Macaca mulatta: one gene and its partner. The protein of the gene in region 1 purifies or fractionates together with the protein of each later gene. This does not show direct contact. Links are inferred from orthologs where the notes say so. Each region holds a gene or a part of one and is shown in the gene's direction. Other genes may lie near its edges.

The links. Proteins that work in one complex are often made in the same cells at the same time.
Region 2: the proteins of RNF114 (region 1) and PARP12 purify together in Homo sapiens (affinity purification with mass spectrometry; 3 studies listed by BioGRID and IntAct, counting the BioPlex papers as one, with this or other methods). This does not show direct contact. The link is inferred for Macaca mulatta from reciprocal best matches to the Homo sapiens genes RNF114 and PARP12.

Annotation. Positions count from the first base shown.
Region 1 is NC_133415.1:102,783,280-102,787,031, forward strand, and holds part of RNF114 (E3 ubiquitin-protein ligase RNF114), read left to right. Parts: intron 1-2,435; coding exon 2,436-2,542; intron 2,543-3,189; coding exon 3,190-3,304; intron 3,305-3,752. UniProt on the Homo sapiens protein: E3 ubiquitin-protein ligase that promotes the ubiquitination of various substrates. In turn, participates in the regulation of many biological processes including cell cycle, apoptosis, osteoclastogenesis as well as innate or adaptive immunity.
Region 2 is NC_133408.1:179,897,066-179,901,441, reverse strand, and holds the start of PARP12 (protein mono-ADP-ribosyltransferase PARP12), read left to right. Parts: upstream 1-1,332; 5' UTR 1,333-2,175; coding exon 2,176-2,501; intron 2,502-4,376.

The DNA of each region.
Region 1 (3,752 bases):
AGTTGTAGAATTTTTGCAAAATGAGATCACACTATAATATATATGTTTCTTCAACTTTTTTCACTTGTTTAAATGTACATTCATTCCCAACTTTTTTTTCACTTTCAGTTTTTTTTTTCTCTTACATATTGGACAGCCTTGCATGTCAGTTTCATTATTTTTTAACACTTCGGTATGGATGCCCATAGTATGAATATACCTTACCATCTCCTTTTCAGGGTGATTTAGTATTAGCGATGCATAGTAGGACCATTTTAATGCTGAATAGGGCTATTTTCTATATCTTAATTGGGGGCTTCACTATTGAGGCTGGGCATGGTGGCTTATGCCCGTAATCCTATCACTTGGAGAGGCCAAGGTAAGAGAATCACTTGAGCCCAGGAGTTCGAAATCAGTCTGGGCAGCATAGTGGGACACTGTATATACCAAAACAAGCCAACAAACAAAACTAGCTGTGTGTAGTGGTGTCTGCATGTAGTCCCAGCTCCTTGGGAGGCTGAGGTGGGAAGATTGCTTGAGCCCGGGAGTTTGAGAGCAGCCTGGGGAATATAGTGGACCCAGTTTCTACAAAAAAAAAAATTGGGGATTCCTCAGTTTGTAGCTTAAAGTCAAGTTCTTTAGCTGGAGGTGAGACAATCATCATGGTAAGCTGGAGCTCCAATCTTGGAGCATTTTTCCCCCTTTGAAGTTTACTTTTAGAAACTCAAGATACTGAATTACAGTTTCCTACTGCCTTTTTTTTTTTTTTTTTTTTTTTTTTTTGAGACGGAGTCTCACTCTATCGCCCAGGCTGGAGTGCAGTGGCATGATCTCGGCTCACTGCAAACTCCGCCTGTTGGGTTCACACCATTCTCCTGCCTCAGCCTCTGGAGTAGCTGGGACTACAGGTGCCTGCCACCACGCGCGGATATATATATGTATACATATATATGTATATATCTCGTTTTGTTTTGTTTTGTATTTTTAGTAGAGGCAGGGTTTCACCGTGTTAGCCAGGATGGTCTCGATCTCCTGACCTTGTGATCCGCCCACCTCGGCCTCCCAAAGTGCTGGGATTACAGGTGTCAGCCACTGCACCCGGTCTCTTCATCTTTATTTATGCATGCATAATGTGGTTTTTGGTTTTGTTTTGTTTTGTTTTGTTTTGTTTTTTGAGACGGAGTCTGGCTTTGTTGCCCGGGCTGGAGTGCAATGGTGTGGTCTCGGCTCACTGCAACCTCTGCCTCCCTGGCTCAAACCATCCTCCCACCTCAGCTTCTCAAGTAGCTGGCACCACAGGCATGTGTCACCACGCCCACCTAATTTTTTTTGTATTTTTAGTAGAGACAGAGTTTTCATGTTGCCCATGCTGATCTGAAACTTGGGAGTGCAAAGTGATGGTCCACCTCAGCCTCCCTCAGGATTACAGGTGTGAGCCACCACGCTCCACCCATGATGAGCTTTTTGTTTGTTTTACTGTGTGCTTTTGCTTTTCTCCATTTTCAAGATCAGTTATTGTATGGTTGGCATGCCTCTAAAAATGTTTTTCTTTCCTCCCTCTTTTCTTCAATTCTTAAAACTTTCTTTCTTTTTAGAAAACCTGTAATGAAGCATTATTCTCTGGGTTTTCTTCTCTTTCTATTTTACTATTGCACAGCCTAGATTTTATGTGAAAGGTTGGGCTAGGCATGGTAGCTCACACCTGTTAGCCCAGCACTTTGGGAGGCCAAGGCAGGCATATCACTTGAGGTCAGGAGTTCGAGACCATCCTGGCTAACATGGTGAAACTCCATCTCTACTAAAAATATGGAAATTAGCTGGGCATGATGGCACACGCCTGTAACCCCAGCTACTCAGGAGGCTGAGGTGGGAGAATCACTTGAACCCGGGAGGCGGAGGTTGCAGTGAGCCAAGATGGTGCCACTGCACTTCAGTCTGGACAACAGAGTAAGTGAGACTCCATCTCAAAAAAAAAAAAATTTAGATTTTAAAGATTATTTCTCAGAGTCTGGTGATTGATACTTTAATCAGGGTTGGTGGCTTTTATACGTTTTACCTAAATGATCACTTTTCTCTGCTGCACATAACAGAATGTGGTTTTTGGCTTGCTATAAGGAGACTAGTTTAAATGCTAGTATAGAAAACTTTTAACAACATCCTAGATTTGGAACTTGTCTGTGAGCACACAGCCTGTCATGAATAGGAGCAAACCTCTAGAAGAGTTATTTTAGAGTGGAAGCGGATATCCTGATTTAGTCAAATAAAATAGCAGCCTTGTTATTAATGGGAAATCTGCAATAATCAGGGTTTCAGCCCCATCAGCATAGTCAGGAGTCTGGTGAGATTATTTGCCAGGGTGGTGTAGGTCTAGTTTTCTTTGCGCCCTTGTTTGGGACTACATTTGGCCTGTTACAAGGTCCTCACTAACTTGTGGGCTCTGATTCTTCCTATTTGAGTTCTTCCTATCCAAGATCCGGTCCCATGTGGCTACTTGTTCCAAATACCAGAATTACATCATGGAAGGTGTGAAGGCCACCATTAAGGATGCATCTCTTCAGCCAAGGTAAATGACTCAGTCTCCCCTTAGGTGGAGGTCATCTCTTGCTATTAATACAAAGAGGTTGGACACCTTGCATGGTCAGGGGTTTAGTTGTATGAATTGTTATGCTGGCTAAAGCTGATACAAGTATTTTGGGAGGAGTATGCAAGGGAGGACTCTGGTGTTCACTTCAGATGTTAGCTGAGCTATTCTTTTTTTCTTTTTTGAGATGGAGTCTCGCTCTGTTGTCTGGGCTGGAGTGCAGTCGCGCAATCTCAGCTCACTGCAACCTCTGCCTCCCGGGTTCAAGAGATTCTCCTGCCTCAGTCTCCCGAGTAACTGGGATTACAGGCACCTGCCAGTAATCCTGACTAAATTTTATATTTTTTAGTAGAGACAGGGTTTCGCCATGTTGGCCAGGCTAGTCTTGAACTCCTGACCTCAGGTGATCCTCCTGCCTTGGCCTATTGGGATTACAGGTGTGAATCACCATGTCCGGCTAGCTGAGCTATTGTCTTCAAAACACTTGATCTGAGTCTAAAGTGATCATCAGCGTCCTTGTCGTTACACATTCGGTGAGCTTTGCTCCTTTTGGGAGTGTACTGTGGTTGAAGTTGAATGGAAAGGTACTCACAGAAAAATTTTCTTTTTTCCTGTCTTTCACCTTCCAGGAATGTTCCAAACCGTTATACCTTTCCTTGTCCTTACTGTCCTGAGAAGAACTTTGATCAGGAAGGACTTGTGGAACACTGCAAATTATTCCATAGCACGGATACCAAATCTGTGGTAAGAGTAACCTTTTTTTTTTTTTCCTCTTAAACTCTATTATGGGAAAGGATCAAGCTTGGAGAAAAATGATGGGATTAGTAAAATGAACTCCTGTGTGCCCTACACCTAGATTCACAGATTGTTAACATTTTACCATATTTGCTTAACCATGCTCTATAATACACACTTTTTGCTGACCACTTGGGAATAAGCTACAGATACCATGACTTTTTTGCACCCTGAATAGTTTGCACCCTGATACAGTAGTGTATATGTCTTAAGAACAAGAGTGTTTTCCTGGAAAATTATATTTTTGTGTGTATAATCATATTCAAGAAATTTAACATTGATACAATCTAATATCTAACATAAAATTCATGTTTTAATTTTAACAATGGTAATGTCCTTCATAGCAATTTTCCCCTCCCCCCAAAGCAGAGGCAGGGATGGTACATGAGTTCTCTGG
Region 2 (4,376 bases), on another chromosome or scaffold:
TGGGTATGGTGGCTTACTGTAATCCCAGTGCTTTAGGAATCTGAGGTGGGAGGACTGCTTGGGGCCAGGAGTTCAAGACCAGCCTGGGCAACATATGAGACAGTGTCTCTAAACAAATGTAAAAATTATCTGGGCATGGTGGCACGTGCCTCTAGGCCCAGCTACTTGGGAGGCTAAGGTGGGAGGTTCGCTTGAGCCCAGAAGTTCCAGGTTGTAGTGAGCTATGATTATATCGTTATACTACAGCCTGGGTGACAGACCAAGACCCTGTCTCTAAAACAATAACAACAAAAACAAAATTAACATTTTATACAATGAAAACATTAAAATCACAATTAAAATCAAAGAGAAAACCCCTCATTCCATTTCTAATTAAATTCATTTTCATTCGTCCATGTTACTATCTAGTCTTTATCCATACACTTTTTTTTATTTACATTTTTGTAGTAATACTACAGGTAAGATTTTCTTTCTTTTTTTTTTTTAAAGATGGAGTCTCGCTCTGTTGCCCAGGCTGGAGTGCAGTGGCATGATCTCGGCTCACTACAACCTCCACCTCCCGGATTCAAGCGATTCTTCTGCCTCAGCCTCCCGAATAGCTGGGATTACAGGCGCCCGCCACCACACCTGGCTAATTTTTACATTTTTAGTAGAGACAGGGTTTCACCACGTTGGCCAGGCTGGTCTCAAACTACTGACCTCAAGTGATCCGCCCGCCTTGACCTCCCAAAATGCTGGGATTACAGGCGTGAGCCACTGCGCCTGTCCTATAGTTAAGGTTTTTATATTCATTTTTAGTGAATGTTATACCATAAGTACTCTTCCCCCATAATCCTTCTGCCTCTCATCTTCCCTTTTCCATTTTCCTAGTACCTCCTACTGCCTCCTCTCAACCACCCTTGCGTGTTTCTTCATCTTTCCCCGTGCTTATTAAAAAATGTCCTGTCACACACACACACAGGCTTCTCTTTGTTATTAGACATTTAAAAAATTAATTCTTGATCATTCAACTTGATTTAGACATTACTGTACAGACATCTTTTCTCGTTTAACACCACATCATGGCTGTCTGTCCCTCTAGATCCACACAGGGAGATTTAACACATGCTTAAAGTCTTCATAATAGTCTTTAAAGATTAGCCACACTGTTCCCACTTAACCCTACCTCCCAGGTAGGGTTCCCCCAGTAACACTTTCACACATAACTTATTTACTGTTCCTTTTACTTCTGGAAGATTCCGAGAGGAAAGATCGCTGGGTCAAAGGTCACGTGCGTTTTCAATTTTAATAGCTATTCCTGGATTACTTTCCCAAAGGGTTCTAACAACTCGCATTGCTCTCAACACGTGTGAGAGGGTCCTTTGCTCTGACAGGTCTTCTGAAATACTTGCTCAATCGTTACTTAGCAGGGGATTGTAACGGATTTTTTTCTTTTTCTCTTTTGAGACGGAGTCTAGCTCTGTCGCCCAGGCTGGAGTGCAGTGGCGCGATCTCGGCTCACGGATTTGTTTTTTTAAAGAACATACCCTTTTATATTTAAATGAAGGAACTCATTGATGCACCGAGGCGAAAGGAACATTTAATTAAGCCTGTCTTCCTCTGCGGAGTGATCGCTTTTGTCACTTGTTCGAGGGGTGGGGGCTCCCGTCAGTTGTCCCTGTTTCTGTGAGACGTCTACCGAAGCCCTGGCTTGGCTTTAACCTGGCTTGGCTTTAACCGCTGAGCGGCTTCAACCGGCGGCGTCCAGCTGGCTCCGCCAGCGCTGCCGCCGCCCTCGAGGCTCTCTGACTGAAGGCGCTCGGAGCATCGCGAAATTAGGGGCTCCTGGTCCCTCAAACATCCAAAGAAGCCATTTTCAGGGCCTAGGGACTGGCCCCCCGCGAGCCGCCACAGCCCCCGCCCGCGAGCCGGGCCGAACGCCCGAACTCACGAGCTCCCGAGCTCCCGTCGGGCGGCGGCCTCACAGCTGGGGGCCCTGAGGCGGAAGGCGCAGCCGCTCAGCTGCGGGCCGGGGGCGTGGCGAGGGCGCACAGGTTCTGTTTTTCGCCGGCCCGGGGCCGCTTTCGGTTTCGTTTCCCGCCGGCGCCTCCACTCTGCGAGAGCCGCCCGCCAGCCAGCGTCCGCCGCCGTCCGCGTCGAGCCATACGCGGTCCGACGGGCGCAGGCACAGCGGCCATGGCCCAGGCCGGCGTCGTCGGTGAGGTGACCCAGGTGCTGTGCGCGGCCGGGGGCGCCCTGGAGCTGCCCGAGCTGCGGCGCCGCTTGCGGATGGGCTTGAGTGCCGACGCGCTGGAGCGGCTGCTGCGGCAGCGTGGCCGCTTCGTGGTGGCGGTGCGGGCGGGCGGCGCCGCCGCGGCCCAGGAGCGCGTGGTGCTGGCCGCGTCGCCGCTGCGCCTGTGCCGCGCGCACCAGGGCTCGAAGCCGGGCTGCGTGGGGCTCTGCGCGCAGCTGCACCTCTGCAAGTTCATGGTCTATGGCGCCTGCAAGTTTCTGAGAGCCGGGTAAGGCGCCGCACCGGGAGCGACGGCCGGCAGAGGCCCCGCGCACCCACAAGCACTTCCAGCCCGCTTGGGAGTCCTACTTGAAGTTTGAGCATACAATTCGGTGGCTCTGCCCTGGCCTCGCCCCGTCATACACTAAAGGGAGCGTTTATTGAGCACCTGCTGAGTATCTGGCACAGTGCGAGGGACTCGGGGTCGAGTGGGGTCCTCTAGACGCCTGGGGAGAGAGATTGATTTACATAGAGCGCGGTAGTGCTGGGTGGGAACACCCGGGTGTGGCCGTGTGGGGTAGGGAGGTAGGGAGGCGGTGGCCTAGGGGAGCTCCACGACGCCGCGGGTCCCCCCTTGCCAGCTTTGAGAGCAGACAATGAAGGTTTTCTCTGCCCAGCAGCTGGAAGAGATCTTTAAACCCCGTTCAACCCTATTTATCTGTTTACAAACTGGAAAATGCAAGCTCCCTGCCATCGCCCACAGGTCCTGGGGCACTGGTCCCTGCCCACTCGGTACCCTTCTGTGCCTGGAACACCCCCCCCCCACCCAGCCTGGGTATTTCTGGGAGCCTGAGCATTTCTGGGAGCCTTTGCTCTGCCTGGAGTGCCCTTCCTGCTCTTGGTTGGCCCTGTTTGTTAATCCTTCAGGCCTGAATCTAAAGATCACATCCCATTTGAGGGCTTTTCCTCCCCTTACTCTTGGTCACAGGGAACTGTTTATTTTCCTCATGGCACCCACTTGCCAATAGAATGGAAACTCCCTGAGGGCAGAGGCCTTAGCTGTCTCCCCAGCACTTAGCGTCCATGTTCTGTGCATAGCACGTGGTCAGTGGGATGTGTGGAAGGGATTGCTGAGGTTTATGTCTAAGAATTTGGGCCTCACCCTGAAGGTGATGGGGCGGGTAAAATGGCAGGAGAGAGCAACCATCAGGTTTGCATTTTAGGAAGTCTTAGGTAGTGGTGTGGGTGCCAGTTTAAGGGAGGATGTTGTGGGGAACCACTGGGAAGCTAGTCATGTAGGATAATTCCTTCCTCCCCTGCTCCCTCCTTTCTTGCTTGCTCCCTGGTGTGTGTGTGTCTGTCTGTCTTAATAGAGTAGATATTTCTTGCTCATGTCAGGCCCAGCAGTGAGCATGGGGTGGGGGGCCTTAATCCATACAGTCATTCAGGGATCCAGGCTGACTGACCTCTGCTCTGTGCCCCTCAGCACATGGCTCTTGAGGCCAGCCTAGGTATCCAGTTCCAGGGGGCTGATGGAAAGGGGGTTGCATGGGAGGTTTTTGTGGGCCAGGTCTAGAAGTGGTGGATTTCCTTTCACCCACATCCCATTGACTGGAAGCTGTCTGGTGACCCTGTCTAGATGCAGGGTGGCTGGGAAAGGTAGTCTCTAGGAAGCAGCTGTCTGGAAGTATCCAGATTAGAACTTTCCAAGGGCTATGTGTGAGAAATTTGGGAGAGGTGAGTTGGTGATGGTGTGGTGAGAGGATATCAGGTGACAACTCTTCAGTCTCTGTTCCTACTGTGGCATGGGTGTTGTTCAGTGAGAGAGCAAGAGAGGGTTTTAGTTTGGAAACATGCCCAGGAGGCAGCTATTCAGGTCAGAAGCTTCATAGGAAGGTCAGGGCCCCAGTGTGCTGGGCTGGTTTGGGAGATACTGGGTGGTGTATGTTGTGGCTGCAGCCCCAGGAGTGGATTAGATCTGAGGTAGAGTCTGAAGCCTGAAAAGAGGCTGAGGGTGGAACTCTGGGGAAATCAGCCTTCAGGGATGAGGCAGTCCAGGGGAGGGCAGGGAACAGCCCACTAGGAAGAAGGCACACAGCAAATAGTGGCTGGATGGAGCCACTCTTGGGGGTAACTGCTGGATCTGTTTAATGTTCATATTTGG